Cricetulus griseus: one gene and its partner. The protein of the gene in region 2 purifies or fractionates together with the protein of the main gene of each other region. This does not show direct contact. Links are inferred from orthologs where the notes say so. Each region holds a gene or a part of one and is shown on either strand. Other genes may lie near its edges.

Region 1 (16,224 bases), on a different chromosome or scaffold from region 2:
CTATCTTCTACTCATCGCACTGGATGTACGCCACTGCTTTATCAGAACAATTGGAGGCATAGCTGAGTGGCTGGCAGAGCCAGGACTGTAGCAAGGCAGTCTAGCTCCACAATTTCCTTGATTCTGTCCTTAAAACTACTCTTGTGTGCTTATTTTCAATTCTGGTTCTGCAAAATTTCAAAGATGCAAAGTATAGTGCAGTGCACTTCCATGGCTCTGGTACCCAGCTAGAGGAGTTACACACTCACGTTTGGTAGTCCTTCCTCTGTTGACATCACTGGATGGCATTTTTGTGATTTCATCAAGGATTGCTGAAAGATAGAACCCTGAAATAACATTAGCAAATGGGGGCAAGGATAATAATGGCTCTTCCCTGGTTAGCATTGAGATTTCCCTGTTCATCTCTTACTCTTTCCCCCTGATCAGTTGTTTCCTTGAATTCAAAAGTAAATAATTCCCATCCGTTGCAGACTGGAGAGCACGCTCTTCCTCATCCCATTTTCGCTTTGGTCGGTTGATAAGTAAATACAGTATATTCAGTTTGTACATTTGCATTTTTGCAGCAGTGATGAAAAGGCTCCTTCTTATTTTAAGTCTGCCAGTGGTCTGGGAATGAGTGGAGCTCAGAGGCCATCTTAGTGTCCTTGGCTGAGCTCCATCCCTTCTCTAGGGAGACTTAAGTTGAGTGTGCTCCTGTGCTCTTCCACACAGGCTTGTCTTATACGGAGCATTCTCCATGTCTTGCCTGCTGTGGAGCTGCTTCATGTCTGGCCTGAAATTAAGTAGGTGGATAGAGCTGATAGGTGTCTAATCTTTTTTTTTCTCAGGTTTGGATCACCAATGGAGGACTAGCCAGTATTTTTACTGTGTTTGCAAAAACTGAGGTGGTTGATTCTGATGGTTCCATAAAAGACAAAATCACTGCATTCATCGTAGAAAGAGACTTTGGCGGAGTCACTAATGGGAAACCTGAAGAGAAATTAGGCATTCGAGGCTCCAACAGTAAGTAGTGTGGCTGATGCTTATTCATGAGCCTGATAGAGAGACTTGAGAGACAGGTTCACTGACCACTATAAGAACTATAACGGAAATGGCATTTAATTACTTGTGGTTTCAGTTAGTTTCATTGTAGTAAAGTCAAATTAAGAATGCAGTTGCAACCTATGCTCCTTGGTGCATTCAGTGTTGTTGATTCTAGGTGAGCGAGGTCAGTTGGAATCTCAGCCTTCGTAGGGCAGTAGTGGACATCACACAACCAAGGCACGTCTTGGGTAAACATCCTGTGGCAGGCCACCCCATCTCTCTTCCTACTGTCCCTTTCATTGCCTTTCATTGCCTAGTCAGCCGTTGCTTCAGTGGAGGCTGGCGTCCTGTTTGTTGCCCTCTGTTCACCCAGTATGGCCATGGCATTTATACTATTCTCGTGGTGTAGTTTTAGAGTTACCTTCCTGCAGGGGACTGAGTTCCTGGCACATCAAGGCCCACATCTGTATACCCTATGTCTTTGGAGCTGAGCATTTCAATGGCGTCAGTTACCTGTTGACAGCTGGGAAGCTGACGCCCCAGCAGCATGCAGGACCCCAAAAGAGGGTCCAGGAACATGAGGTCAAAAGGAAAGGCATGTCTTCCCCATACCCAGTGGAGTAGCCTTTGAAAGAATGGCCAGGTCCTCTAGCTCATGTAGCCAACCCTTAAATATGACCAGCAGAGAGAGAAGTCAGTTTGGTGGCATTCCACCCCCACACTTTGCCAGAGCAGCAGTGGAATGAAAAGCATTGAGTCCATCTTACAGCACTTGGCCTGACTCTTCCTTGAGCCCAGACCTTCCTTATCCTGAGTCTCTCTGGTTCAACATGCCAGCAGGTACGTTGTCTATGTAGCAGAAAGTGCAGGCAGTGCTTCAGGGAATATTGTGCAAGGCCACTGTTCCAGCCCCTGCCTTGTCCTGTGAAACTTGTTTCTCATGGTTTCACTCAAACTCACCAATGGAGCCTGTGTTTCTTCCAGGATTGCTGTGGTCCCTGGCTACAGTAGCCCTGTCTGTCAGACACCTTAGAATTTAGGTTACAGCAGCAGGATTTTATTTCTTATGGTTCTCATGGAATGTTTCAGCCTGAAGCCTGTTGGTGAATTGGGTTTAGGTTGTTGTGTGTCTGCACTCATCTGGTTGGCTACATTCTATCTGCTAACACCCCACCCAAGCTGGGAAGATGCTACCCCATAGTACAGGGGTGTGGCTGTGTTAACATAGCAAACAAGACTTAAGGTCTGAGGAAATTCTGGTGTTCTCCATATGCTTTTCTGTCTTTGGCTATTTTGGTAGTTTCAACAGTTGTTAAATGTTGCCTTACAAAAGAATGACAGCCTCCCTTACAGCCCCATCTCTCTCTGTACTGTGCTGTTTATTTCATCACAGCACTGACCATGCTACCATGTCCTTGCATTTATGGTTTGTCTTCCTAGCCAAAGAATGAGCTCTGTGAAGGCTTGAATGCAGCCTTTCTCACTTGTTCTTCAAGATGCTAAATGAGTGACTTAGTCAGTCACTGGCCTCTGGGACAAGACCAGAATGGTTTGCATTTGTTAGTCACGATCTTTAAATTCCCTGTGTCTTAGCATGTGAAGTCCATTTTGAAAATACCAGAGTGCCTGTGGAAAATGTCCTTGGAGAAGTTGGAGGTGGCTTTAAGGTAAGTTGAAGACCAATGTAAGTGCTGAGCCATTTCACATGTGAGTCTTGTGTTCTGCCCTGTTCTTTCTCCTAGCAGGCTAGCCTGTTCTTTATCTGTGACTTCGTATGGCTTTGGGCATAGAAATCAGCCCCATAGAGTCTGGAGAAATGGCTTTGCTCCTAGAGGAGGAGTCTCATTTAGGATGAGGAGTCTTTATTCTCCTTGGAGACCTCCTTTTTCCTGAGTGAGGAATGGAGTTCCCCTCCCTAGTAAGTGAAGAACAGGCTAGTGGGCTCCAGAGAAATTCAAGTTCCACGAACCGAGCACCGATCATTCCCGGCCCTAAGCTTTTCCACTTATAGTCATGTTTATATTTGAAAGATTTATTTTCCTGAGATAGTCTCACCACAAAGTTCTGATTGGCCTGGAACTCATTATGTAGACCACACTGGCCAGAGATCCACCTACCTCTGCCTCCCTAGTCCTGAGATTAAAGACATATGCCACCTATTCAGCTGGATTTATTTATTTCTACTTTATGTATGTATGTGAGTGTCTGCATTTGTGTGTGTGAATTGCATATGTGCCTGGTACCTGGAGAGGCCAGAAGGCATCTGATCCTCTGGAACTGGAGTCACAGGCTGTTGTAAGCCACTGTGTGGGTGCTGGAAAATGAACCCAAGTACTCTACAAGAGCAGCAAATGGTCTTAACTGCTGAGCCATCTCTCCAGCTCCAGATTGACATTTTATTGAGAAATGTTTTAATGTGACATTTAATTTACCATTTTAAAATGCACATGTCTATCATTTTTAATATATTGTCTGTTGTGCAATCACTGCTTTTAATTCCAGAAATGCCATGCTTCCAGTTCTACGCCCATCTTTTGGCAACTGCTGTTTTCTTTTTTTCTTCTTTGGGTTTGTGGATGATATGACTGGACTCATACAGTGTATTTTGTGACTGGCTGCTTTCACATCATATTCTCAAACCATCATCCATGTCACAGCATGAGTCCATATTTCATTCCTTTGTCTGGGCGGATAATGTTCTACTGTGTGGGGAAACCACATCTTATCAGTTCATCAGGTTGAGTTGTTCCTTTGGCGCTAGGGTCAATAGCACTGTTGCGAACTTTCATCTTCAAGTTTTTGTTTGGAAAATATATTCTCAGTCCCTTTGGGTATAAATGTAGAAATAGGGTTGCTGGATGTATGGAGACCAGCACTTCTTTGAAGAATGCTTTCCACACTGCCTGTAGTGTACGAGGTTCCACATCTTTGCCAGCACTTGTGGTGGTGTCCATTTTCAAATTAAAGCTGGCTTCATTCCATTTCTTCACTTGCGCAATCTGGTTGGTGAGGAGACTCCTGGGACTCTGGATGAGGTTCATAGCATGTCAACCAGAGCTGTGTACCTGCCTGGCTCCCAGGTGTTGACTGTACTGGATCAGAAGAAAGAGCAAGGAATGAGGCAGGCAGGGTGCTGGCTAAGCCATCAGCCCCTGTTGTTTGGCAGCTGGCTGCAGTCACTAGAGTCATCTATGTATATAGGCTTTCCTGTCAGTCCTGAGAACAGAACACCTGAGTTCAGAACACTGCTCTGAACCACAGCTGTTTCATCTGTAAAGGTGGACAGTTCTTGCTGCTCGCAGTCTAGGTTTCTGTCCCTTCCCACAGACGAGGAGTACTGACAGGTGCATTTAGAGTATGAGCAATGACTTTTTGTGTGGTCAGAGCGAGGCCAGTGATGTTGATAGAAAGGTACAACAGTGACTAAGCTACCTAGTTTGAGGGTTAAGAACTGCTTGCTTCTGGCCTGAAAACAGGCAGGGTGATTAACTTGGCCTGGATGCTGGCTTGGAATACTGTAGACACTTGCCTTTGCTTTTATGAAAACATGTGGGTACAGCTGGCTCCTTCCGCCTCCTTCAATGCCTCTGTATAGTAGGAAATTACCAATACGGAGTCAGGTGGAAATATAAGGGTATTTAATAGGGAAAAGCCTTACTTACAGAGCGAACCAGCCAGCCGGTGGCAGTCTGTACAGCAAGAAGCAAAGAGAAAACGAAACCGAAACGCAGACCCCCTACTCACTCTGACCACGCCTTCACAAGCCTGCCCAGGTACTCCTGTAGCCAGCCCCTAAGAAGGCGTGGCTACAGCTTCCCCTACACCTCTGGACCTTTTCTACCCTCCCTGCAGGTAGCCATGAACATCCTTAACAGTGGGAGATTCAGCATGGGCAGTGTTGTGGCCGGGATGCTCAAGAAACTGATTGGTAGGTGTGTGTATAGTTACTTAACTCATTGCTGTGACAAAATACATAAACAGCTTTAGGAAGGGAGGGTTAATTTTGGCTCACAGTTTGCATGCCTACTCCATCTTGGCAAGGAAGGTGTGGCTATGAAAATCTCTAGCTGTGGCTGCTGGAATGTGAAACAGTCGGCCACATTGTGTGTGAAGCTGGGAAGAGGAAGAATGAATGCTGGAACTCCCATGGCTTTCTCCTCGCTTACTCAGTCTGGATCCTCAGCTTATGGGCTGATACTGCCCATATTCAGGTGGCTCTTCCCTCCCCAGTTAAACATCTCTGGAAATCTGTCACAATCAGTGCCCAGAGGTGTCTTGTGGTTCTAAGGCCATCAGGTTAACACCAAAGATTAATCTCCATAGTAAGGAGTCAGGAGTCAAGGTAAGTCAGGAGCAGGAGCCTTTTGCAGCACCAACTGAATACCAGGAATGTCTGTAGTTTCTGCTGGGTGGGCAAGGCTGAGCTAGGCCAGTTGGACAGACAGCTTAAGTTTAGCATCTGGCCTTTAATTTAGACCAAATGTATTCCTTCCCCAGAGCTAATATATTTCCATATTACTAGTCAGGCATTCTGTCAGAAGCATAAAGCTTTGCTGCTCTATCCAGCACAAACATGGCTATTTAGTGAACTTCAGTCCACCAGCCAGCCACTAAGAAAACATTGGCTCTGATCTCACTAGAGCCCATGGCTCTTTGGGCATAGATGTTGGCTGTGAAGTGCTGGAAACAAACACAACCTTGTGTGTTTTGTGACTATTAGAGTTTATAACAATGTAGGCCCACATTTGGACTCTTCCCTCTATTTGGTTAGTAGAGAAACTGAGGCCCAGAGAGGGTGGTGGATTACACAAGCCCATGCATCATGACCTAAAGGCAAACCTGCTTGTTAGGCTCAGGCTCCTTTCAACATGCTCTGTGGCTCTCATCAGTGAGAGTTCTCACAGTCAAGAAACATGTGAGTATAGGAACAATTAGAGACCAGCTGCAAGTGGATTACACCCAAGGACATATTTGGGAAACAAGTTGCAGGCAGAGCCAGAGTCACTAGTGCCCTCTGAGGCTCTTAGAACCCGGCACTATCAACAGCCAGGCACCTTGAGGCCCCCACCAGAGCTCTGACATGAAGGTACCTTCATGTTGTGGTTAAGTATCTGTGGGCCCACTTCCACATCTTTCTCTGATGCCTGGTGCACCTGGCTTATGCTAGAGCCTCCAGCCTTTCTCCTCTTTGTATTGTCATAGCATTTCTGTGACTTGGGCGATGTGTTAACAGAGGTAGAGTGCTTCCCTTCATACCCTCACAACTGACTCAGCATTCCATGTTCTTAACTTCTGCCTGCTGCTTATAAGCCCCATGAGGAGCAAGAATTCCACCTTTAACCAGCTGCCAGAAAGTGGGAACCCTGGCTTTTGGGCTTCTCATCTCAAAGACAAGGCTCTCATAGTTCCTTCTGGGTGTTGAAGGGTCATCATGCTGCTCTTAGGAAATAACTTTCCAGTATTCAAAAACCTCTTTTGTGTTTGTTTTCTGTTTGTTTTGACAACTCTGTTCTTCTTTAGAACTGACTGCTGAATATGCCTGCACGAGGAAGCAGTTCAATAGGAATCTCAGTGAATTTGGTTTGATTCAGGTACTGAAGACTTTGATTCACGGGATGAGAAGAGGTTTTCAGTTGCTGGTTCTCTGTACTGTGCCTGTGGGCAGGGACATAGGAAGAAAACTGTAATAGGCATTATTGCCCCCAGATAGCAAGGCTTCTGATGTGATTTGCTTCTTGGGAGAAGAGGTTAGGAGACTGAAGCCTATGCACATGCAGATTGTTTATTGATTTTGTTTTTCTGAACATTTCAGGAAAAGTTTGCACTAATGGCTCAGAAGGCATATGTAATGGAGAGTATGACCTACCTCACTGCGGGGATGCTAGACCAACCAGGATTCCCTGACTGCTCGATCGAGGCTGCCATGGTGAAGGTAATCCCAACTCAACTAGAGCTAGCACTTGGGGGAGATACAGCCTTTCTGATCCGTCTTCCTCTTTTTAGTTGATAGAATGACTTGACTTACGATTTGTGCCCACACAGCTTTCTGGGTTAGCAGGGCCCTAGGTTGAAGCTGGGAGGAGTGATAGAGAGTGATGCTCACCCTAGGGTGAGTCTGCAGGAAAGCTCACTGCTTCCCACTATGGATGGTGCCCGTTTTTACTGATTGATCATAGTCTATAGCACCAGGAGAAGACACAGATGTTAAAACTTTATAGCCATGTACATTAGCTAGACTCTCCTGGGAAGGTATGCCATTTTTTTCATAGTTGACATCCTTTCTTCTTGATTGGAACTTGGTTTTATAACATGTTTAATGAGGTTAAAAAGAGGTCACTGGTTACAAGAATTTAATTTTTTTTAATTTTTATTTATTTATTTGGTTTTTTCAAGACAGGGTTTCTTTGTGTAGCTCTGGCTGTACTGGAACTCACTCTGTAGACCTGGCTGACCTTGGACTCACAGATCCATCTGCCTCTGCATCCCGAGTGCTGGGATTAAAGACATGCATCACCACCACCCATCAAGAATTTGATTTTTTTTTTTTTTTTTTTTTTTTTTTTTTTTGGTGTGTAAAATGACCAAGTTGGCTATTGGGTCATGTCCTGGTTTGCCTGAGTGTTGCTATTTCTTAGAAACATTGCTCTAAAACAACCTTTGGAGTTTACAGCAGGCCCAAGTTTATATGCCTGTTTCTGGGGCTTCTTCAAACCATCCCTTCTCAAGGAACTGCTTCCTTTTCTGCAATAAGGATTCTCCTAGCTTTACCTCTGGGTCATAATTTTGTCAAATAACAGAGTTGGGTAACAGTGGTACTGCTTCAGTTGAATACTTAAGGGTTAAGCAAGTAAATCTAGGATCATGAATAGACAGAACCTGGCAAACATCATACAGCAATCACCTTCTTTACCTCTGTGGCATTGGGTGTTTCTACTCCTTTGTTCAGCCACTTTTCTGCCAGATCCATTAACTTTGGGTCATCACTATCAGTTGGGACTATTTCCCTTGGTTTCTCGGAGTTTTCTGATATACTTACTGTAATAGCAAGAGCCTCTAAGTTGATTTTCACAACCCTCTAGCTTTGGTTTTTTTTTTAATTTTTTAAATATTTTTTTTATTTTTTGAGAATTTCATATAATCTCTTTTGATCATGTACTTCCCCCTCTTCAAATCCCTTTAAATCCTCCTTCACTTCCTACACACTCAATTTCATGTTCTTTCTCTCCTTTAAACCCCCACTTCTCCCAGAACTAACCCGGGAGCCTTGTTTGTGTTGTATACCTACTGAGCGTGGGGCTTGGGTGGAGTTGGGGTGCTATGCCAGTGATGTTCCATTAAAGAAAACTGATTTCTCTCTCCCAGCTGCAATCAGTTGCTTCTTGGCTAGGTCTTATTTGTGCCCACTTCCCTTTCTCCATGTTGGGGTTTTGTCTGGCTTGAACTTGTGCAGGTCTTGTACATGCTGCTGTAGTCCCTGTGAGTTTATATGTGTATCGGTCCTATTGTCTCTGGAAACTGTTTCCTTGAAATCATCGACTACCTCTGGCTCTTACAATCTTTCTACCGCCTCTTCCGCATTCATTCCTGAGCCTTAAGAGTAGGGCTGAGTGCTTCGAAGTCTCTCCCTCTCTTCACGTTGTCCAACAACCTTTCTTATTAACCATCAGTGAACAGGAGTAAAGGGGTAATTGTGGCTTTATTTACTAAATAGTTGACCATGGAAAGCTGTATCTGAGAGGCCAAAGAGATCAGTCATCTTGGGTGGCCTAAAACGGCAGTTTCCAAGGATATGGATGCTTAAATGTTGGTGTCAGGGAAGACCTGAGAAAAGCACAGCTTGGCCATTACATGCTAAACAGCAGAAATAAACTTTGGAGCCTGGACTCAAATCCTAGATTTGCTATTCCCTAACCATGTCACCTAGAACAAGTCACTTAATATCTCTGAGCCTCCATTATTATCTATGAAATGGAGATAGTAAAAGTACCAACATAAAATTATTGAGAAAGCTAAAGGTGCTAATAAACAGCTTAGAGTACCTAACATAACATGTCACCTATTATTGGTTAGTTAATTTTATAATATCAAGGTGTAGTCAAGATAAACAGTAAAATTCCTATTGAAAACACACACAGTAAAATATATATGTGTTTAGATAGCAATTTCTTGCTTGGGTTTTTTTGTTTTGTTTTGTTTTGAGGTTGGGGAAGTTTTCTTCTGTTTTGTTAAATATTTTCTGCGCCTTAGACCTGGGTTTCTTCTTCTATTCCTTTTATGTAAATTTGGTCTTTTCCTGGATGTTTTGTGCCTGAGTTTTTTAGATTTAACATTTTCTTTGACCATTTCTTCTATCTTCAATGCCTGATATTCTGTCCTCTGTGTCTCATACTCTTTTAGCAAGGCTGACCGCTGAGGTTTTTGTTTGACTTCCTAAATTTTCCATTTCCAGTTTTATTTCAGTTTGGGTTTTCTTTAGTGGTTCTGTTTCTACTTTCATGTCTTGAGCTGTTTTCACTATTTGATTATACTGTTTGTGTTTTCACAGATTTCATTGAGGTTTATTGGTATCCTTTTTAACATCCTTGTCTTATGCTTCAACTATGTAGAATTTCTCAGGGTCCACTGTAGTAAGGTTACTGGGTTCTGGAGGGGACACATTGTCTTGACATGTTTGCATTTTTGTTCTGGTGTCTAGGCATTTATAGTTATGATATTTAAGATAATTCTAGGTGTAGGCATCTGGTCTTGTCTTTGTTGGGTATGAGTTCTGTTTCTTAGTTTCTTTTGCCCTCTCTGGATCTCAGGAAAGGATCTCTAGGCTGTGGGTTGTCTGGTACTGAGTGCTTCTGAGTCCAGGTCCTGTGTGGCCACTGGGGGTCCCAGGTAGAAAGTGTTTGTAGAAATTGGCAGATGACTTAAAGGAATGGGCTAGAAGGTAGGGTTGAGTAAGGGTCTTTTTTTAAAGCTATGATACAAGTAACAACCCCACTTTCAGCTGGACTTGAATTCTTAAGAGAGATGCTGGAAGATGTGACAGCCTAGAGAAATGGACATTGGAGAGTCTGAAGTGGTCCTGTTTAAGCTTAGGAACAGGGGCAGCTGTGTGCTGGGTGGGATTCATTTCATTCTCATGTTTTCCTTGGACACCAACTACTGACTGGTGTCCAAGAGCTGACCCTCTTCCACATGCTAACCCTAGAGCTGAGTGTCTCTATCCATAGGATGTTCCATAGACAGTGCTCATGAGAGCAAAATGGAAGTCCGTGGGGATGGCAAGAGTAATCACACTTCCTAAAGGGAAAATCTGGGTGAATTACAAAGCATAGGAGTTGGCACAAGAGACATGACACAAGTGTTGGGGATGGAACACAGTCTGGTCACTGGTCCAAGAAGGCAAAAGGACTTGACTGTGCCTACCTGGAAAGTTCCTCCTGGAACCACTCGTCTCCAAGCTCAGGTTTTCTGCACATTCTCTGACTGCATCCTGGGCAGCAGCTCCCTGTAGCTTAGGTCTTGCTCTTACAAGACTGAAGGGAATGTCTTGTGGAACACTCCCACCAGGCTCTAACCTTGTCTGGGTCTGTGACAGGTATTTAGCTCTGAGGCTGCCTGGCAGTGTGTGAGCGAGGCTCTGCAGATCCTTGGGGGCTCCGGCTACATGAAGGACTACCCCTATGAGCGTTTTCTGCGTGATTCCCGCATCCTCCTCATCTTTGAGGTGAGTGTCCCTGCCGACTGTGCTTCCCCGTACACCACCTTAGTGATGTCCCTCTGCTCTTCCAGCCTTCCGAGCCCTGAGAGAGGCTGCTAAGTCTCCAGAAATAGCCTACAATGATACAGGGCAGGCTGTATCCTCTGGTTGGACCCTCTTAACCATACACCAGTGCTCCCACCCTCCCTTGCTTTGTAGAGGGGAATTTAGACTGGGAGAGCCCGAACAGCCCCCTCAGGTCACACTCCTGAAAGCCCTTTCTACTGGGCCCATAACTTCCCAGTTGTAGTTTTGCCAAGTTACTTCTGGCTGGGCAGGATTGGATAAATCTGTAGGAGAGTAGGGGTTCCAGTCCCAGATCCCACTCTGCTTCCATTCTGTACTCCCTAGGCTATGATTTCACTCTCAGTAAATTGAAGTTAAGCTGACTCCTGTGAGCTCCAATGGAAGGTCTCCTTGGTCTTTTGGTCCCAGTCAACATCTCTGCCTTTTCAGTCAGCCACAGCCTAATAGCAGAAGGCTGGGCTGCCCAAAGAGCCAGGCATGTCTGAATTTTGTCTTGGGGTTGCCTCTCTATTGGCCCTTCCTATAGGGAGAGGCCTGGATTTCTCAAAGATCCTGGCTAGGTAGTATAGTCCAGCAGGGTTTGCTCTTGAGGCCATAATTCATAGAAGGGTGGGGAAATTTTGATGTGAGGCAGACTTTGTTCAGAGCTAAGGGCAATACCACAAGAGTCTCCATGCCCAGCTTTTCCTCCCAGGAAAACTTCTCTCTCCTTGGTGTCAGTCCAACTACAGGATGGTGCTGGCTGTGAAGCGTGGGTCAGTAGCCTGCAGCTTCCTGTTCTATAGTAGAATTGTATTAGAAGCCTAGTAGTCCTGTTGGGTACTGCAGAGAGAGAGAGAGAGAGAGAGAGAGAGAGAGAGAGAGAGAGAGAGAGAGAGAGAGTGTGTGTGTGTGTGTGTGTGTGTGTGTGTGTGTATTCCCCTGAGCTATTGCTGCTCAGCTGTCTATAGTTTCCCTGGGGATTCTGGTCTAAATGAGAGCCATGGGTTATCTGTTCCATACTTTCTGTGTCCTGGTCATCAAATCCCACCCAGAGAGATCTGGCTTCAGTCTTATAAGGCTTCTGAGACCTACAGAAAGATCTGGACTATGCAGGATAGGCTATGAGAGGTAAAAGTCCCAGTGGGAGGCCATACCATCTAGTCAGCCTTATTACCCTTCCAGTGTGTTCGCTAACACCAGGCCAAAGCCTGCCTCTGTGCCTTGTTCCCAAGCTGCTTCAGTGGCAGCCTCTATCATGTGGACAGTGAGTAGTGGCTGGATTTGTCCAGTCACAGACTGCACTGCTGGGCTGCTTTGACCTTCACACTTCTGGCTGCAGGGAACCAATGAGATTCTTCGGTTGTTCATTGCCCTGACAGGCCTACAGCACGCCGGACGCATCCTGACCTCAAGGATCAAGTATGTGCTATTTTCCCATCTGTTCTTGGTCCCTACCTGTCAGCAGCGGCCAGAGAAAAAGGCTGCCCAATTTTGGAACAGTGGGTGGGGCCTGCAGCCTGCACACAGGCTTACTGCAAAGCTGGTCCATGCAAATACAGTATCATTTGCACAGTGGTGACAGGGTCTGGAACCCACACCTCTAGCTTGCCCCTCACCAAAATCAGCAGGAAGGGCAACCTGCCCAAGTTGGCCTCATTGCCTTTTAGAGTCACATTGTCCTCTAGGCACATTCAATGCTATTGTCCACCTCCCTTGCTAATGCTCATTTCCCACACTGGAGGGTCCCTGGTGTTTGGAAGTGTTTATTATGTTGACTGGATTGCTGAGACATCCAGAAGCTAAGGAATTGAGTGGTGTGCCACTAATAGGTGGTGAGTTTGAGACTAGTTTCTCTTCTCTGCCCCTCTATCTCTGCTGCCCTCATTCCAGGGCAGAGCAGTCAGATCCCTGCTGGAGCCCATGCACAGGATGCTAATAGTATTTTGCAGACTCCTTAACTGTTTGGAAGCTGGCCATACAACAGACTTCTCCCTGCTAGGAGGAGAAAGCCATCCTGCATGGAACCCACATGCTCAGCTATAGAAAAGCACAGAGTTCCATGGTGTCATACTGTTGGTCAGTGGGAGCCAGCTGCAGGGTCTTAAGTCACAAGACTGTGAACTTCCTGCAGAGAGCTTAAAAGAGGCAATGTGACTGTAGTCATGGAGTCAATTGGTCGGAAGCTTCGGGATTCACTGGGCCGAACTGTGGACCTGGGACTGACCGGCAATCTTGGCGTTGTACACCCTAGTCTTGGAGTAAGTATGCCCAGCACCTGTACTTCCCACATTTGGGTCCTCTTCCTGCAAGGTATTCCCAATCCAGGAGGATGTGACTAGTATCTGGGATCCTCCAGGAAAGTGGGGAGCACTCAGATGCTCCACTCTATCCCTTCCCTGTCTCCCTGGAGCTCCAGACTGCGCCTATTAGGTGGATCAAGTGTACATCATGGAAGAGATACTAAGTCTGTCTTCTTCACTAATAGGACAGTGCCAACAAGCTGGAGGAAAATGTGTATTATTTTGGTCGGACTGTTGAGACCCTGCTACTCCGTTTTGGAAAGGTAAGTGGGTCCTGCCGGGTATGGGTTACTGCCTCCACTACTTATGCTACTGCGTGGTCAGCAGCCATGGAACTACTTTGGGCCCATTGCCCACCTGTGAGTCCAGGCCTAGAACAGAAATCTTGATCTCCATGGGGCTGGAACTGCTAGCCAGCACTGACCCTGGAAGGGCCCTTCTTGGTGAATTATTCATAGTGTTCTAAACACCTTCCAATCAGAGGGTGACTCTGGAATACCTGGAGGAGCCACCTACCTGGGGCTGAACACAAGGAGCTAATCTGTGGGAAGTCTTGCTGAAGGTGACATTGAGCACACTAAGCACCAGACAAGTTTCTGAGACCTGTTTAAACGTTGACATGTGACCAAGTATAGAGAAGGGAAAAACATCATTGGTCACCACTCTGTCTGCAGACCATTGTAGAGGAACAGCTGGTATTGAAGCGGGTAGCCAACATCCTCATCAACCTGTATGGCATGACAGCTGTGTTGTCACGGGCCAGCCGCTCCATCCGGATTGGGCTCCCAAATCATGATCATGAGGTAAGTGTTGCACAGCCTACACAGGAAATATTACAAAGAAGCCATAATGAGTTTGATAGGATTGTGGCTACTGGGATAGGCCCTTTTTCCACTGTGCTTTAATGAAACCTGAGCTGAAGAAGGGAGACATTGGGTAGTGTGGCCTGTTGGAGAGTCCTGTACAAGAGAGACTGAGTCTCCAACCCCAAGTGGTAGTGGCAGAGATGGATGGATGAGTTTTCTGTGCTATGGTTGGCCATGTCAGTGCTGCTCCTCATCCTAGCCTTTAGTTTTGTACAGGAGACAGATAGGTGAGTGACAAGCCCACCCTCATTCATTACCTGCACTATACTTTCTTCACCCTCAGGGGGAAGCAGGGTTAGTCACTAGCAAATCCTGTTTACCTGGATCTTGACACATGCCATTCTAGAATAGCCCATGGGTGCGCACTTCACAGAGACAGAAGCTGTCTCAGAGATCCTGAGGAGCTTGCTCCTGGTCAACCTGCATTTGGTCAGAGTGATATGTAACTTCTGAGCCATGCTTTTTTGCTTCAGATGTCATCATGCCTCGTGTGGCAGTAGGCTGGGTGTTTTTGAGTTCAAAGATCAGCTTCAGAGCTCTTAGTTGCTGTCCTTTCTGACCGTGGTTCTCTAGGTTCTGTTGGCCAACATGTTCTGCGTGGAAGCTTATTTCCAGAATCTCTTCAGCCTGTCTCAGCTGGACAAGTGTGAGTGAGATGGCCTATGGGAAAGCAAGCACCCCAGGTCCAGCCATCGTCGATAGCTATTGATGCTTTATTTCCTCCCAACCTTGCTGCCAGGAAAGTGCTTTGGGCTCACAGCAGAGGCCTTGCCAGATCAAGTACATCCCTAAGAGGGTATGGTATGCTAGTGTCTGTTTAGGAGAGGTCCCGAAAGAAGAAGACAGTCATTATGCCTGTCCCTTTAGCCATAAACTCTAGCCAAAATGGCTTATGGAACTGCAGAATGCTGTAGAGGTGGTGAAATGGCTTCTCCAAATGCCTTGGCCCTGGAAAACATGTTACTTTAGGCCAGCTTCTCTATCTGAAATGTTTTTTTTTTTTTTTTTTTTTTTCTCTTTTGTAACTGCCTGTCCATGTTTTGAAATATAACCAGGTTTTCTTTGACATGGTAGTCTAGCCCTGTTCCCTTACTGAAGATGTATAGCCTGCAGCTGTAGAACCCAGCCCAGGAGCCCTAAAATGACTTTCAAGACTGTGATATACTGTGGAAGGTAGTGAGACAACCAGGAGCCAGTTACCAAATAGGGCCTTCCCACATAAGACTTGGGGGGTCTAAAGGTTATACTTGGGTACAGTCCCATTGGGGAACTAACTAAGGTAAAAACATACTCCTTGGACGTGTTTGTATTACCATGTTGCAAAAGGATTACCTATGCCTTTCTCCTCTCACAGTTGCTCCAGAAAACATGGATGATCAGATTAAGAAAGTGTCTCAGCAGATCCTTGAGAAGCGAGCCTACATCTGTGCCCACCCTCTGAACAGGACATCCTGAGGCTGGGACAGTGCCCTTTACCTACCACCTAGTCCAAGTTAACATAATTCAGCATCTGCAGAAGACTAAAACCTTGGAGTCATCCTTGTGGACTATATGTCATTTGTATGCACTAAAGCAATAGTGTAAACAACTATTGCTCTAGGGAAGAGCAGTAGCTAGGTTTTGACCTGTAGGCCCTGCATCTAAAGAGATCCCATCTTCTGAAGGGCAAGGAGGGAAAAAGGAAGGAAGGAGGAAGGAAGGATCAAATTGTTGAAGAAAGAGTGAAATAAAGATAGAATCAGATTGCTGGTGGTTCTTATGTGTGGCCACAATTATCAGTGATCTCAGTGGAAACGGCTCACCTCTGTGGCACAAGGCTCACACGGAACTGAGGTGTGGGTAGCCATTCCTAAATTTAAACCATACATTGAGAAGGAAGCTGAGTCCATACCACCTACTGAAACGGCTTATAGTCTAAGGATCCATCTTACAGAAAAGAATGTAAAATGTCACACTCAGTTCATGTCCTATCTAGACTTCATGTCCTTCCAATACATGACCATGAGAGGTCTTAACAATAAAATGTCTTGGATGTTCTAAAGTTTGTATTGTAGAGATATTTTGCTTCCTTTGTTAGGATTTTTCCAAGAGGTTGGTTAGTTTTATTTTAATAGAATGCTGTTTATTCTTTGATAATTTCATTCGTGTCATATCTCCCACCTCCCCCTTTTTATTCCTCTGGCACCCCCAACATGCTCACCTCCCTACTTATTTTTTTTCTCCCAACCCACTGAGTCTAATTAGTTATGCATGGGAATATTGACTTGCAGGCTTG
Region 2 (16,879 bases):
CTGGTACCCAATGCTTCTGGGCTTCTGGACCCTGGCTGATCTTATGGTGGGACACTCATGCCACCAGGAGAGGAGCCCAGGCTCTGTCTCCTCACTAGCCTGGGCTTCTGAGGCAGGGCTGTGTCCCCTCCTCTCTCATCCTAGGGCTCATATGGCTTTGGGAATGAGGAGTCCTGGGTGAATGTCAGAGCAGAAGAAAGGAACAAGGAGGCAGGGAGATGGGGGCAGCAGGAAGAGGGAGGGGAGGGGGACAGAGGCAGGGGAGGAGAAAGGAGGGAGGGGAGGGAGACAGAGAGAGGCAGGGGAGGAGAAAGGAGGGAGGGGGAGGGGGGCAGAGAGAGGCAGGGGAGGAGAAAGGAGGGAGGGGAGGGAGACAGGAGGGAGGGGAGGAGAAAGGAGGGAGGGGAGGGGAGAGAGGCAGGGAGAGGAGAAAGGAGGGGGGGGAGAGGAGGCAGGGGAGGAGAAAGGAGGAGGGGGAGGCAGAGAGGCAGGGGAGGAGAAAGGAGGTAGGGGAGGGGGGCAGAGAGAGGCAGGGGAGGAGAAAGGAGGGAGGGGGAGGGGCAGAGAGAGAGAAGAGAAAGGAGGGAGGGAGGGAGACAGAGAGAGGCAGGGGAGGAGAAAGGAGGGAGGGGGAGGAGTTTAAACAGGGAAAGGAAAGAATGGGAAAAGAGTAAACTCCAGAAAGAAGGAAACAGCAGGTGACACCCAGAACCACTCTAAGCACTCCATTCATCTACTTTGTGGGGCAGGCCACTGGCTGTCCACTTTCCTAGATGGGAAACCAAGATTCAGGCAGTCAGATTATCTGTGCAAGGCCATCTAGCTGTGTCCATGCTGGCATCCCTATTTGGGGAAATAGGGAAACAGCTCCAGAGCACCCCCACCCCCACCCCAGCCACCAACCTCTGAAGAAGAGAAAAGGGAGTAAGATAAAGGGGGCGTGGCCAGAGTACTCACTTCACAAAGAGCTGAGGCACACTCAGAGAGGCCGATTTAGTGACGCCTGCAGATAAAGAAACACATGAAGGTTTAGCTACTACTGAGGCATGTTCAGCGCAAACTGTGGCTTCAGAGGGACTTGTATAGGGAGCAACTTCGAAAGTTGCTGCTGCTGGGGACTTTCTCTCTACCGCAGAAGTTTCTGGGAGGCAGGGCACTCTCCTGGCAGTGGGCTCACAGCCCCTCTCTGGTGCACCTGCTTTTCAGGGACAGCAGGAGAGCAGGCACAGAGAACACACATGGGACACATCTAGGAACACCACGCAGAACCCACGCCCCACATGCAGCCCAGAAGGGGAAACAGGCCAGAGATGGAAGGTTTGTGCCCGAGAGGTCACATGGCCACAGGAGGCAACCAAGAGCTGCAGGATGAAGACACAGACTGGTTCTAACCATATGACTTGTCCCCATCTTCATTCTCCCCTTCTCCCTTCCCTCCTCCTCCATCTCCTTCCCCTTCCTCCCCTCCCCTCCTCTTCTCCCTTCTCTTCCTCCTCCTCCTCTTCCTCCTCCCTTTCCTTCCCTCCCCACTCCATTCTTCCCCTACTTGCTCCTCTCCTTCCTCTTCTGGGGCAGGTGCAAGTCTGGACACCTGCAGAGACCAGAGGACAACCTCAGGTGTCATTCCTCTGGAACGCTTCACTTTGGGTTTTGAGTCAGGGTCTCCCATTGGCCAAGGGACAAGCCCACTTCAGTAGGCTGCCTCACGAGCAGGTCCCAAGGGACCCTCCTGATTCCACCTCTCCAGTGCTAGGATTACACATGCAGACCACCGTGCCCAGGATTGTTACATAGGTTCTGGGGGTGAAATTCAGGTCTTTATCCTTCTGTGGCAATTGCTTCTTAGACGGAGCCTTCTCCCCAGCCTGGACATCACCTGATGGCTTCACCTTCCTGTCCCTCTCTAACTCTAGTTGGTGGGGTTCAGGTCAGGCTAGCTCCAGAACATCCAAGGAAGGCACTTCTTAGCTCTCCCCTGAGGCCCTGACATAAATGTTTCATATTGCATTCCTAGACACCTGCTAAGGTCACAGACTTAGCTGGGAGCTGTTTTCTAGGGTGTAATTGATCTGGGTGGTTCCCTGGGGAGTATTTTTGTGCCTCGTCATTTCAAATAAAACCACTCCATGTCTTCAAGCAGCCCGGGTGAATTCCGGATGGAGACAGGATGCTCCCATTCACCAAGTTACCCTTCAAGTCCCCTGACTCTGAGCCTCTCTCCAACTCCCTCACCTCACTCTGAGACTTGGCAGCCTCCTCTACCTCCAGCCTCAGAAACTTCTCCCACACACATCCCATATGCTGATAACACCCATCTGTTACCCAGCATTCCCCATGTGCCAAGCTTCCCTCGAATAACTTTCTCTGCATTAATGATTTTAATGCCCAGGTGAAGAGCCGGGGCCTGGAGGGTCTGAATAACTCACTCAGGGCCTATGATTCGAACCCTGGTGGCCCAGCCCTACAGTCTGTCTCAACCAAGTCTGTCTTAGCCAAGAGACAGCCATCAGCATAATTGCAGCAAACACTCCCTCAGGAGCAACTGTGAGCCAGACCCACTGACTTAGACATAGGATCTCATTTAATCCTTACCATGGGGTAATAGGACCACAACACAGACAAGGCCACCCTCCTCCCATCCTCTGTCCAGAAGCTCCGTAAAACTGAATGTGTCTGAACTGAATGTGAACCCAAGGGTCACATGAGCCTGATCTCTCTAGTCAAGTCCCTAGACAAACTGCTGTGTCTCCTTTTACTGCTTAGAGTCACAGCTGAGCTTAGACACAGAACTGTCTGCTTGACTACACACACAGTGTCAGCATTATTGATCATGGTAAAAAGGACCAGGGATCAGCGTGTGTGTGTGTGTGTGTGTGTGTGTGTGTGTTCACGCACATGCATGGTGTGATAGCACAAAGTATATTCTTTACACACCACACTTAAAAACCAAACTCAATGTCAAGGAAAGTTCTGGCACCTCCTTGGTGCCTCCTGATACTTCCCTTGTTCCTGAGGTCTTTGCTCCAGGCAGGCCCCACATGGCCCCCTTTCTTGGTCTTTGGTTCCTGGGACCAAGTACCACTTGTGTCTGAAGCAGCCAGTCTCACTGTTGGTAAAAGCTCAAGTGTGCAGAGCAAATTCAGAAACCATTGAGTTAAACACTTTTAATGCTTTCATTAATAAATATGCAAGTACTCACGAAAATGGAACCCACGGAAACAACATCCCTATGGACTCCAGTTCACTTGCTGTTTCAGGCATTCGAAGTGAGCGTCTTTCCTTCTGGTTGCCAAGGAGTGATTGGCATGGTGGCTTTGCTCAGTATTATGGCTTCCTCATCAGCTCCCCGAACCCTTTAGACACCTGTCTTTCCCCTTTCCGCACAGCCAGGCCTCCCTCCTCCAGGGCTCCTCACATCTGCAGTCACCACCCAGCCAGGGGAATAGATGGGGGGGGGCACTTGGGAGTGCCGAGTGCTTTTTCTCTTGCAGACTATTCTTTTGAAAAATAGTTTTTAACCTCTTGCCTCCTGTACCACATTTAAAGTTTGCCATCATGGGACACACCAGGGATGGAGAAGGTGGGGCAGGTTCCCCTACCCCTTCCCTTGTTTCTCCTGGATAGAACGGGATATTCTTCCTTGATAGTCAGCCTGTGTCTAGGGATGGTGGGACTGGGGTGGGACTCCATGTAGGCCAGAAACTCTGGATGTAGCAGGAAGGAAGCCAGGTCCTCCCCAGGGACAGAACAGAGCTCCCAGTCCCCCCAAACTGTGCTCCTCCTGCTCTGTGACTGCTAGTCTTTGGAAGGAATTCAGATCAATGGTCACTCTGCATTTTGTTGTAGCCAATGTTCAGGAAGTGGTTTGATAAAAAGGGTCACTGTGGGTGAGACTAACCCCAGAGTGGCAGCCGTAGACGCAGGCAATGCTGTGACACTCTAACAAGAGATGGTGTGGCCTCAGCGAAGCTTTGGGTGCCCTTCCCAACTGGGGTGCCTGTTCCATCACTTCTGCCATTTTTTTTCTTTTTTAAAAGAAAAAAAATTTGTCTTATTTGTGTTTCTTGGTCTGTGAGTGCATGGGGCACATTGACAAACAGATACCTCTTTTGCCCCTGGAAGTAGTGTTCTGAGAGAGCAGAGGTGGTTGAGAAACACGTCTCAGAGTATGATTTAGGGGGTCATAAATACGTGCTTCTCTGTGAAACCATCACAAGTTAATCTTAATGCATGTTAAGAGTATAACGAAGCGATAGAAGTCAAACTTTTCTAAAGCTGGTTTGAGTTGTTCTCTTACAGGGAATTTATTTTCACCTCCAGAGTCACAGAGAAACCCTGTCTTGAAAAAAAAAAAGAAAGCAGGTTGATGTTTTTCTTTTTCTCTTTTTTTCCCTAAAGGAAAATTAGTAGCAGTCGGCATAGCAAGAGGCAGCCAGAACACAGGGCAGACACGGGCTGCAGAGGGAGTGTGTGAACTATGGTGGAATCCCCAGCAGTTGGCGTCCTTGTTCCTAGAGTGGGTTATGGAGCATCCTCGGTACCCACAGCGGCCTCCGGGAAGCAGCCAGGATGCCCAGAAAAGGAGCAGAAAGAAGGTTGTGTTCCTTGGGTCAGCACCCAGCCCTCTAGCTTCAGGTTGGAGCTGGCCAGAGTAACACTGGAAAACTCAGTCAGAGATAGGAGTAGGCAGGAAGTCAGAGAGCCGGGCACCTGCTCCCGGGTGGGCTCACCTCCTCTGAAACTGGGTTATGGCTGAAACTTTTCAGGAAGCACCTGTGCTTTAAAAAGGGAATCTTCCCCTTGGCTTCTTGGTATCGGTAACTTTTACCTCCTCCTCCCAGAAAGCAGGATATAACTCAGATCCAACCATCCCTTGAGTAGGAATGAAGGAAGGAGCCCGCCGTGAGTGACACCATCCCTAAGCAAATGATCCCTGGCTGTATTAACAAGGTCAGCCAAGCATGAGCCTAGGAGCGAGCCAGAGCGTGAGTCACCAAGCAATGTTTCGCCATGCCTTCTGCTTCAAGTTCTTGCCCCGATTTCCCTCTATGATGGACTGTCACCAGGAAGTAAGTATAAGCCAAACAAACTCTCTGCCTACCTCCCTCCCCCGACAAGTTGCTTTGGGTTAGAGGGCTTTTATCACAGTAACAGAAAAGCAGCAGAGACAGAAAACAATACCAAGATGTTGCTGTGGGATTTTATGCCTTTGGAGTATTCTTTTGGAAGTCTGTGGAGGACTTTGGGATTTAAGCTGGGGAAAATGGTTCCGTGTTCGGAGGTTAATGGAATGTTCTGTGGGAGTCTGGATGCTAAGAATGCAATGAGAAGTATGAATGGTGGAGAGCAGACTCTGAGGGTTCAGAGGGAAGTAAGGTCTTCATCTGTGCCATTTGTGTGATATTTTGAATTAACAACCCATGGTTGCTGCTCAGTTGAGGTTGAAGAACCATCCACGATTAATGAGAGACCAGCTCACTGAGGTAAATAAAGTTCTCTCTGTGTTTCACTGGGACAATGGAAAGTATTTCCTCATGGTGTCACCTAGAAGCTAATGTTCCAGTGGCCCCTGAACTTGAAAATGTATAAGAGTCCCCATGTGGCACTGGTTTTAAAGGCATGAATGCTACATGACTAAAGGAGTCACGGAGTGCAGCTGAGGCCTGGCACTGTGTGGTAGGACTGCAGTTTCTGAAGAGAGGCCATAGGTGAGCGTGCAGCCTCAGCTCCACTGGAGCCTCCACACTGGAGATGCTGGGAGTGCTCATTGCCTACATGAGCACTTGAGACAGACAAGCTTGGTGTGGAGCTGACCTCAGACTGCGAGACAAGCCATGTGTGCTGCAAATGACCGAGCCTGAGAAGCGGGGCTGCCCAAGCTCTTCAGAGTTGAGCTCCAAATGTCAGACACAGCGCTACAGAATTTGGATTCACATTGCTGGATTTAGTTCTGCTTGGATCTGATTGTCCATAGGCCCCAGCTCTTCCCTTTTGGAATAAGAAAGTATGCAAAGTCTTGTAAGAGACTTTGGATTTTAAAAGGGGCTTTGGACTTTTAAAGTGTTGAAAAATTTAAAGACTGGTGCTTTTAAAGCTGTGTGACCTTGTCTGTTTATGACAGCAAATAAGCAGACAAGTCAGGAGGTCTGAGTAAGGAAGATGAAGTGAAAATAAGGAAGATGGAGATATTTGGCGGATTGATTTCTCTAAGTCCGATCTGGAATGACTGCTGTCTTCCCAGGATTTTAAGAGAATTTCAACACTTACAAAAAATATTTATATTGTTAACAATAAGTTTACTACCAACCTTCAGAATAACTTAAAGGTGAATAATAAAATACCACTAAAGAAAAAAAGTTGTATGATCTTTTACAATATAACATTAACATAAGGTCTTGGGGACAAGGTATTGAAAGGTTATAGTTTAAAAGTGATATGTTTGTGGGTCAAATTGACAAGTGTCAAGAGTGTCCTAGTTAGCTTTAAATTTCAATTTGACATAGCCTAGAGTCAACTGAGAGAAAACCTCAACTGATACCAAGGAATTGCCTAGATGGGCCTATGGGAATGTCTATGGGAGATTGTCTTGATTATTAATTGATACAGGAGGGTGATGGGGAATGTACTGTGTATGTTTATCTTATTGATTGTTAAATAAAATACCGTTTGGCCAATGAGACAGCAAGTTAGACGGGACTGGGAGTCAAAGAGGATTCTGGGAAATGTAGTAGAGAAGTGGTGATCCAGGCAGGAAATGACATAGCAAGGAGACTCATATTTAAGCAAAAGAGAAACAGGAAGGGTCCCCCTTTTCCCTTCCTCCACCAGCGGCAGGATATGAGCCACTGGCAAGGAGGGACACCAATAAGGCATCCGATAAGATAAGTCTTATAAAATATATAGGTTTATGATAGTTAAGACTGAGCTAACAGATGAGAATCCTAGTCATTGGCCAAGCAGCATTGTACCTAATACAAGTTTCTGTGTATTCATTTGGGCCTAACTCGGGCGGGCGGCTGGCATAAAGCGCGCATGTGGCAGTGGGGCTCGGCGGCTTTTGGTGGAAAGATTTATCATAACAGGAGGGCCCAACACACTGTGGGTGTCACCATCCCAAGGCAGGTGGTCCTGGAATGTATAAGAAGGCTAGCTGGTAGCATGCATGTGTGGTTTGTTCAACTAGTGCACAAAAGCAGAGACGAGGCCTGCAAGGGCCTGTCTTCGTTTACAACCAGAGCTCATAGTTCAGAATGAGTTTTGATACACACAAGAAGGACTACAACACACAAGATAGCTCGAAGGGAGCATGGTGTTGATGGTGAGATTGGTTGGTTTATAAGTTTAAAGAATAGGCAATGAGAAAACCAAGACATACGAATCACCATGTAATTTTCACGTGATAAATGAATATAATATAGTAAAGCTAGCTGAGCGTGAGTCTAGGAGGAAGCCAGACAGCAGCATTCGTCTGTGGTTTCTGCTCTGAGATATTGCCCTGACTTTCCTCAATGGCGGACTGAGACCCAGAAGTATAAGCCAATTAAGCTCTTTCCTCCCCTCAGTCGCTTTGGTCAGAGTGTTTTTACCAGAGCAACAGAGATGAAACTAGAATAGAATCCAAGAGGAGGTTGCCATGACCTGAGCCTTAGGGAGGCAACAAACCTGGGCAGGGGAAGCTAAGAAAATTGTATTTGTGGTTCAAAGCTAATATTGACTTGAAATTAGCTCATCCCTCAAGATCTGCATCCATGCTTCAAAACACACAACCACCTACCCATCTATGCAACCACTCACCCATATATCAACCCAACCACCCAAGAACTCATCTACCCACCACCCACCTATCTCTCTATCCGCCTCTCTGTCCACCCATATACTCACCCACCCACCTGCTCACCTATTCATCCATCCGTATTTTTTAAGGTCTTCTATAAGCCAGGCACTGAGCTGTATACTAAATAGGAAGGGGATTTAAATGCATATATAGGAATGCAGAGTTGTCACTGGTAGACTCTAGGCAAATGCTATACTGCCAAGCTATGTTCCCAGCCCTTTACCTTGAGGTAGGTGCTCTACCACTGAGCCACACCCTCAGCCCGCAGTTCAAAATTACCACCAAATGTTTGCTGTGGTAGTGAAAGAGAAGGAGGAGAGGAGGAAGCCAGATTCACAGGACCTGGCTGGGAATGCACCCCAAAATGACCCTGTTCTGTGGTAATGTCAGCATTTCTTGGAACCAGAGATGAGGAAGGGCCTGCCACAGAGTCAGTTCTAAGGAACACTGAAGATGAAGGGGAGGGACAGGGACTTATCTAAGGGACAACTGCCTCTCTGCTGCTGCCAGGTTCCTCTTGCAGCTGAAGGAGTCAGGGGAAAGTAGATTTGATGTACACTCTCCCTATGTTTCACAAAGCCATCAACTATGTACAACTTACCATTAAGGCCAAACAAAGGACTGGCCCAGGGCCAGACTCCCACCCTGCCTCTGATCCCTGTGGTTATTTGACTCAGAGGGTGACAATGGTCTACTTAATCATTTACCATGCCCCCGGGGTGGGACAGGCCTGCCACACACCATAACCTCATTTAATCCCTTGTACGGCACTCTACAGAGTGGTCCATTAGCACAGCCCATTCAACAGGGCTGGAAACTAAGACTTAGAAAGATTGCATGGCTGGGGAGTGGCTGGGCTGGGAGTCAGACCTGGATGCCCCACACCCACAGCCCAGACCCTTGCCATGCTGACTTGGAAACACAGTAGGAAATTGGCCTGGGCATCTACCCAGAGAGAAAACTATGAAGGTCTTTGACCCTTCAGAGGGTCATTTTCACAGATGCTTGTAGATGCCAGGTGTGCCTCCCTCCCACCATCCAGTCCTGGTCTCAGAGCCCACACCCTTGCAGTGAAGATTTTGAACAGGGTTGCCTAATGTCATAACCAGCATGCAAGGGCAATGCCATTCATCGTCTTGGTGACAGAATAATTACTCAGGGAAACCTGGATTTTCTCTCAAAAAGTTCCTTGTGATGTTGCTTTGCATTGGACACATGACCTTTTGGTTACTTGTGACAGTCCTGTCACATTCCTGTCCGATGATCTGGCATCACACAGGGACCATGAAAGAGAACAAGGGGGACCCGAAGACACCACTGGCAGCGAATCCCTGGGCACACTGCTGGGGAAAGGGTTAAGCCTAATGCTTCAGTGTGATAGCTTAATGCCTTCAGCTCACCTCAGGCTCTACCAGGAAGGCTGACAATCCCAGCAGAGCAAACAATAGCTTGGATTGTTCTAGAGAAAACTAGTCTGGCAGCATCATTTGCCAATAATTTCCTAACAGCTTTAACTGTCTTCTGCTTCCTTGACTTCAACCCAACCTGAAAGCAACAGCAGACAAGGCCTCGTCTTGGGCACAGAAGCCTGTGAACCTGACTCCTGCTGGGAAGAGGTGATGGCAGGAGGGAGCTGAGGGACAGAGATGAAGACCCAACAGGTCATACCTTTGGTAGGGTTAGGAATGCACCCAGGGCGACTGTCCTTCATAGCAAATGTCAGGGTTTCTCGGAACCAGAGACCAAGAAGGGCAGCTAGGGCAAGACCGAGTACACCTGTCCCTTGAATGATGGACAAGACTGTGATCCATGTGCACCCAACTTCTGTTCTAGAACCATCAGTGGGAATGTCAGGTTCTGGGAATGGTACCATGGGAACCTCTACCTGTCACAAATGAACAAGGCCCTCTTAACTCGTCCAGTCAAGTTTTTGCAGAGGCCTACCTTCTCTGTCACTCAGAGCCCCCACAGCGGCGTTGTCTTCACTCCACGTCAGGGATTCCTTGCAGTCACTGCTTGCTGCGAGGCTGGGTGAGATCACCACTTCTAACATCGCCTTGTACCTGAGTGGAGACAAAGGGAAATTAATTTATTCATTATTATTCATGTTTGCTAATGAATCATCTTTTCCCCCTAAGAATGTAAATATTAAAAGCTGATTACCTATTCCTAACCTTCTAATAGATTCCATATAATACAAATTCACAAACTTTTAGTCAAAATGGAAATGAAGTCCTTGCCCCTAGAGAGCACGCCCACTCCATCTAAACACCCCTCCTGTGCTTGGAATTTCCCATTAGAGGTATTGTGTTTTGGTCTCTCTTCTGGATTGCCTTTGAACTGGGGAGACATCCCAGGAGAGGAAGGGGTGACAGGGTAGGGGGAAGGATTGGTATTTCAACTCCCATAGACTAGAGGAGCTGGGCAAGGGCACTTAGAGTTGGCTGTGGTAGCAAAGTGGGCAGTATGCTGTTTGTACAGGTGGAAAATGGCATAGAAGACAGTCACAGAATTTCACAAGTGCCTCTAGGATGGGGCCTGGTGCCATACCTCTGTAATCCTAGCTACTCGAGATGCTGAAGTAAAAGAATCCTAAGTTCAATACCAGCCTGGGCTACAGAGCACATTCAAGGCCAGCCTGGGCTACTTTGTGAGACCGTGCTGCAAAATGAAAAGTAAAGAGAGGTCTAGAGAGCAGGTGCTTGCCTTACACATGTGAGGCCTTGGGTTCCATCCCTGGGACCCGAGTGTCTCTAGGTGGTATGCCCCACAGCCCAGAGCAGCTGCCCCTTCCAAGAAAGCAAGCTCTGAGGCTGGAACTGCTCCAGATTTTGACATGTCACAGGGTTGGGGGTGGGAGTGTGTGCGTGGGGGAACACAAGGTGTCATGGGGTTTCATTTTTCATTGACACATCTCATGCTGGCGCTGTAACTGTAGTTGCTCCTAAGTGCCTGTATGTTATGACTGGGAAACAGGGCTGCCAGCTAATGTTCACAGCATGCGGGGTAGCCGTGCTCAATGGCCTAGACTTAACTCACAATACTCATTACTGAGTGCCACGTCAAACAGTAACAGGCAACACCTACTGAACATTTCTTAAGCTGAGGCCATCAGGGCATGGCCAGTTACCACGACACTGATGGGACACACCATGGCAGGACCAGGTCCAACACAGAAACATCATGGATTCAACTCTCTCTAGTTCTGATACTTGCAGACTTGAATCAAAGAGATGGAGACCATTAAAATGCATCTGTGTTAAGACCATGGTGCAGGTTAAGAGGCAAGGTATAGAACGGACGAGCTTGAGGCAGCCGCCCAAGTGCCCATGCGTCCCACAAGACTGGGCTTTGGCAGACAGCATGCTCAGATAATGTCTCTTAGGCAGCCATAACAAGGACTGGGTGGAAGCCCATGCAGCATAGCGACAGATGGCCAGAGTCCAGCAAAGAGGCAGAAGGGTGCCATGGGAGGACAAAGAGTCTATGAAGCCCTAGACCCACAAGTCAGGATTGTACACTTAAGATGTATGAGGTCAAAGGAGAGCAGCATGGGCTGCAGAGGAGGCTCAGGAGTTGGGAGCATGTATTTCCCTTGTTGAGGCCCCAGGCCTGGTGCTTAGCACCCAGTAGCAAGGGCGGGAGAGGAGGCTCAGGGGTTGGGAGCATGTACTGCCCTTGTTGAGGCCCCAGGCCTGGTGCTTACACCCACATCAGGAGGCTGTGGCCAACAGTCAGTTCTAGGGATCCGACTCTCTGGCTTCTTTTGACACTGGTCCATACAAATGCACATAATTGTTTTTAATAACTAAAACACAACAAAACAGACAGATACACGAAAACCAGAATTGTGGATGGGAATGATAAAATGTGATCTCTTGAGGCAAGCTGGGAAGGAGAGAGGCTAGAAGCCGGGAAGGGGACCCTGGAAGTTCAGCCAGATCTAGGTTTCAGCTGGAGCAATGCCCCCGGCCCCAGGTCAACTCCAGCCTGTCTCCTCCTCCAACCTGTGAGCTAAGAATAGCTCCCAATTTTTCACATTTCTTTCTTTGTAGTGTTAGAGATTGGACCCAGGGCCTTGCAATGTTCAACAAGTGTTCTACCACTGAGTCATGCCCCCAGCCCAGGCTGTCATATTTTCAAAGGGTTGGGAAAAATCCAAAGAAGGACACCACTCCCCAACAAGTGAGTACAACGTAAAACCCAACTGTCAGTGGCCATGAGTAAAATTCCAACAGGCTTCAACCTACCGTCATATCCACGGTTACTGTTCCACTACAGCCTCGGGGTATAGTCCTCTAAGAGAGGCTGTGGGTGGATCCCTAAAGCTGAAGCTATTTAATATCTGGGAGAAAAAAGCTTGTAGCAGGCTTTTTTTTGGGGGGGGGCAACAACCTGCTCCTAAATCATGACACAGAGACTTATTATTAGTTATGAATGCTCAGCCTAGCTTAGGCTTGTTTCTGGTGAGCTCTTTTAACTTCAATTAAGCTGTTTCTCTTTGTCTACATTTTGCCTCGGGGCTTCTAACTTTTCTTTCCTTCTGTATACCTTACTTTCACTGCTTCTCACGTCTGCTGGCTGGTGCCAGGCTTCTTGCCCTGAGTGTACCTTCCTCTTTCTCCCTCATTCTCTTTTTCCTTCTCCCTTTTCCTCTTCCCATTTATTCTCCCTGCCCACCAGCCCCACCTATCCTTTCTCCTACCTAGCTATTGGCTGTTCAGCTCTTTATTAGACCAATCAGGTGCCTTAGGCAGGCAAGGTGAAACAAATGCAACACGCCTTTACAGAATTAAACCCACACATCCTTACATCGATAAACAAATGTAGCCCACCTTTACGCAGTTAAAGCAATATTCCACAGTAGAAACAAATATAACACGTCTTTGCCCAGTTAAAGAAATATTCCATGGCGAAAGCTTATCAACTGTGAAGTAGTCTTCAAGCAAGGTTGTGGCTACACCATTGTTCTATGGTTTCCTATACTCCTGTATGCCTGAGGCGAGTTTTCACAGTGTGTGGTGTATGCATGCATGTGTGTGAGGGCACATTCACCTGAACAGGTGCAGCTGGGAACATAGACTGATGCTGGATGTCTTCCCTCAGCCACTTGTCTACCTTAATTTTTCCAGACAGCATCTCTCACCGAGGCTACAGATGGCTGTTTGGTTAGTCTGTCTGGATGACAAGCCCCCAGGTACCCCGGTCTCCTCTCCCAGACACTGGGGTTACAGCTGTGGGCCATGATATGCAGCTTTTGATGTGGGTGCTAGGGATTCGAACTCAGGTCCTCATGCCCTTAGAGCAGACACTCTACCTGCAGAACCACACCCCTCAGCCTGAAAGTGCTTTATATAAAGTTTTTAAACTGGTGAGAGACTCCCACACAAATTAAATGGGCTCTTGGGACTTTACATGAACAGAAAATTATTGGTCCTCTTGTTCCCCCCCACACAGGCATCTTAAGTGTCCATCTCCTTGTTCCCAAATTGCCACAGGCACTGCAGGGTGGAGGTTTGAATGTCTCCTTCCTTTAGCCCTGAAGGGTGGATTGTGCCCTCTGCAGCAGCAGACTTCAAATCTGTCACCTGATTGTAGGTGAAAGAAATTTACACTAAACCTCCATCACTTCTTTCTTTTTCCAGGGTGTCAGGAGATAACAACTTTAAAAGAAAGAAGATGCAAAGACCTTGGTCCCCAAATGTCACCTGCTTGTCTCAGTGTGGCATTCAGAGGCTGAGGCTGCTAGTGAAACTGTCAAACCCAGTTTATAAGCAGCATGAATAACGTTCTCCCTGGTACTTAGAAGTAGCTGGAAGAGTTTAACAAGACAACACTGCATGACAACCTAGGCTCATGCCTTCTCTTGGAAATGAGAGGATAACACCATGATTTTGCTTGGCAACTACAGCTGGAGCCAAACAGCCAAGGCCCAGACCAGTCAAGGCACAGGGCTGGCATTTGCCAAAGATTGTACCATGTTTGACTCTTGTCCCCTCTTTTTCGTATTTACTCTTCTCTCGGGTCCCCACAGTCATTTGCTCTGGAGAGCCCAGGCATATGTATTTTCAGAACAGAGCAGAGAGACACCCCCAACCTCTGTCACATGACTTAGGGATTTTACACAGTTCTGCTGGCACTCCTAAGAGCCTCCTCATATCTGAATGTCCTTACTACGACACTCTGTTGGGTGTGTGTCCTGGAGCCTCTGCTATGGGACAGAAGGAAAGTCATTGAAATCTGGTGGATTTTATGTGCTTTCCCAACTAAGCTGTCAAAGGCTTGGAAATCAATTTTGTTTTCCCCATAGGACCCAACACAGTATCTTGTCATTCTGTTACCCCGTTAACACCTGCTGGAGGGAAGAAGGAAGAGTGAGGGAGAGTGACAAAAAAAGCTGGGAAGGTAAAGTGCCTCCTGCATGAGGACCTGAGTTCAAATCCCAGCACCACGTAAAAACATGAGCATGGTGGCACATGCCTGTAATCTCAGGTTGGGAAGAAAAAACCAGGAGGATCTCTGGCCAAACACTTCAGGCTGATCAGTGAGCCTCAGGTCCCAGTGAGAAAGACTGTCTCAAAAACTAAGGCTAGTGCCCTAGAAGCAACACGCACACACAAATAGTCAGTTCAAGGCTAGCCTGGGATAGACAAAATCCTGTGTCAATTTAAAAAATAAAAGGAAGAAATCCATACTTAGTAACCAGCATCTTTCGATTGGACCAAACCCTTTCCTTCTTCCCTTCATTCCCCACCAGACTCTGGACAATGACTCTAATCTCTAATGTATGAGATATGTAAATATGGTCGTCATTGTAGACATCACTGTGCCATCTTAGGGTGGCACCTGCTCTAATTTACAGGCTTGTTAGTATTTTTATGAAAGACTCAATTATTCACATATTTTATGTTTATGAGTGCTTTGTCTTCATGCACACCACAAGGAATCTGATTTCATTACAGATGGTTGTGAGCCACTATGTGGTTACTGGGAATTGAACTCAGGACTTTTGGAGGAGCAGTTAGGTTCTCTTAAAAACTGAGCCATCTCTCCAGGCCCAATTGTTAGGCTTTTATCTTCAATCTGCACTGTAACTTTTAAACACATGCATTGCTGGGTAGAAGCCAAGCTTGTAGCTGTAAGTGCATTGCCCTGGTGGGGGCATTCAGATGACTACCATCTCTCACCCATTCCAAACAATGCTGCAATGAACATCTGACTATCCATGTAAGCAACATCTATCTATCTATCTATCTATCTATCTATCTATCTATCTATCTATCGTCTATCATCTATCTGTAATTTACATATACATGTCCTGTGTGTGTGTGTGTGTGTGTGTGTGTGAGAGAGAGAGAGAGAGAGAGAGAGAGAGAGAGAGAGAGAGAGAGAGAGAGAGAGAGAGAGAGAGAGAGAGAACATCAGTAGAAATCTTGAATGTCATTCCTTAGGCACCTTCCACCTTTGATTTGAGACAGGATCTTATGAGCCTGGGACTATGACTTATAGCCTAGGCTGACTGGCCAGTGAGCCCCGCATTCCTAGTGCTGGGATCACAACTGTGCAATGCCAGGGTGGGTTCTGGGGCTTGGATTCAGGTCCTCAAGTTTGTGAGGCAAGAGCTTAATGACTGAGTCATCTCTCAGCCCTGTATCCACGTATCCTCAAAATGCATGCACACATCCCACATGGAGCAAGATTTCCATGTGACTTTTAAAGTTAAAGTTGATCAAACATTAACAGCGGTCCCTGGTAATTCCCCTGCTTTTGAAGACTCCCACCAGTCACGCACAGGCTTCCAGTTTCACAGCTCCATGTTACATTTGTGTTGTGGTTTCCATACAAGGGTTCTCCACAAAGGCTGGTGTGTGGAAGGCTTGGTCCCCAGCTGGGGGATCCAGTCACCGAGATAAGGCACCTGATCTGTGATGCACTCCCAGTGGTCTGTCTCACCTCACCCTCACAGCCATGGGGCCAGGCAGTGTGGCCTGAAACCTCTGAAATGAGGCATTGACTCTAAGCAGCAAGGGACTGATTTGCACACTCGGAAGTACCCAGAGCCCTAAGCCGCATACTGAAAGGTAGGAAACAGTATTTCACATTCGTTTTCATTCCCATCTCTCGCGCTGATGGCATGTTGGGGAGAAATGCGTATTCATTTCCTTTATTCTTGTCCATCTTTATCATTATAGCTTTTCTTTGTTGCTGTTGCTTAGGGTTTTTTCTTGTTAATATGTCTGGGAAACTTATATTAGTCTATTCAGATGTTGTAAATTCCTTTCTCTTTTCTCTCCGACCCCTTTCTTTGGGGGCAGGGTCTCATATAGCCCAGGCTGGCTTGGAAAACCCTGCATAGCGGAAGCTGACACCTGATCTTCCTGCCTCTGCCCTCAGAGGGCTTGGATTATGGGAATGGGGTGCCACTCCTAGCTCAAAACATCAGCTTCTTCCCCCACCCCCATGATGGGAACCTAGGGCCTTGTGCATGCTAGGCAAGTGCCCATCGTGGCTGCATCCCTGGTTCCACATGCTTGGAATTTCTTTCCATTTGTGTATTTCCTTCATTTCTGGAAAGGAAAAGGTATATTTAAAATTTTATTCTCTGTGTATGGATATTTTACCTGCATCTGTATCTCCAGTTCCAGAGGACAATGCAACACCCTCTTCTAACCAGGCACACACAGACATTCATGCGGTCAACTGGGTGGGTGTTGGTGATAGCGTAGCTTGAAATTTAGGTCACTTTCTAAATCACAATAAAAAACCAGACACTAGGAAGAATTTTTTTTTTTGAGACAGGGTTTCTCTGTGGCTTTGGAGGCTGTCCTGGAACTCATGCTGTAGACCAGGCTAGCTGACAACTCACAAAGATCTTCCTGTCTCTGCCTCCTGAGTGCTGGGATTAAAGGTGTGTATCACCATAGCCTAGGTAGGAAGAGTGTTTTAAGGCACTCAAAGACAAAGAAGGCAATACTTGAGGGCCCAGGGTCTCCAAGATTGAGGATGGTCAGAGTTAAGTCTAGCTTCTACCTTCTTTGCTCTCAA

What was found.
Region 1: the proteins of Eya2 (region 2) and Acad9 purify together in Homo sapiens (affinity purification with mass spectrometry; 3 studies listed by BioGRID and IntAct, with this or other methods). This does not show direct contact. The link is inferred for Cricetulus griseus from reciprocal best matches to the Homo sapiens genes EYA2 and ACAD9.

Annotation. Positions count from the first base shown.
Region 1 is NW_023276806.1:113,476,012-113,492,235, reverse strand, and holds the end of Acad9 (complex I assembly factor ACAD9, mitochondrial), read left to right. Parts: intron 1-827; coding exon 828-1,002; intron 1,003-2,616; coding exon 2,617-2,690; intron 2,691-4,875; coding exon 4,876-4,951; intron 4,952-6,543; coding exon 6,544-6,614; intron 6,615-6,835; coding exon 6,836-6,955; intron 6,956-10,612; coding exon 10,613-10,741; intron 10,742-12,122; coding exon 12,123-12,202; intron 12,203-12,914; coding exon 12,915-13,041; intron 13,042-13,268; coding exon 13,269-13,346; intron 13,347-13,757; coding exon 13,758-13,886; intron 13,887-14,522; coding exon 14,523-14,595; intron 14,596-15,303; coding exon 15,304-15,404; 3' UTR 15,405-15,993; downstream 15,994-16,224. UniProt on the Homo sapiens protein: As part of the MCIA complex, primarily participates in the assembly of the mitochondrial complex I and therefore plays a role in oxidative phosphorylation.
Region 2 is NC_048599.1:13,735,002-13,751,880, forward strand, and holds the start of Eya2 (eyes absent homolog 2), read right to left. Parts: upstream 9,888-16,879; coding exon 9,779-9,887; intron 7,282-9,778; exon of another isoform or gene 7,156-7,281; intron 1,004-7,155; coding exon 958-1,003; intron 1-957. UniProt on the Homo sapiens protein: Functions both as protein phosphatase and as transcriptional coactivator for SIX1, and probably also for SIX2, SIX4 and SIX5.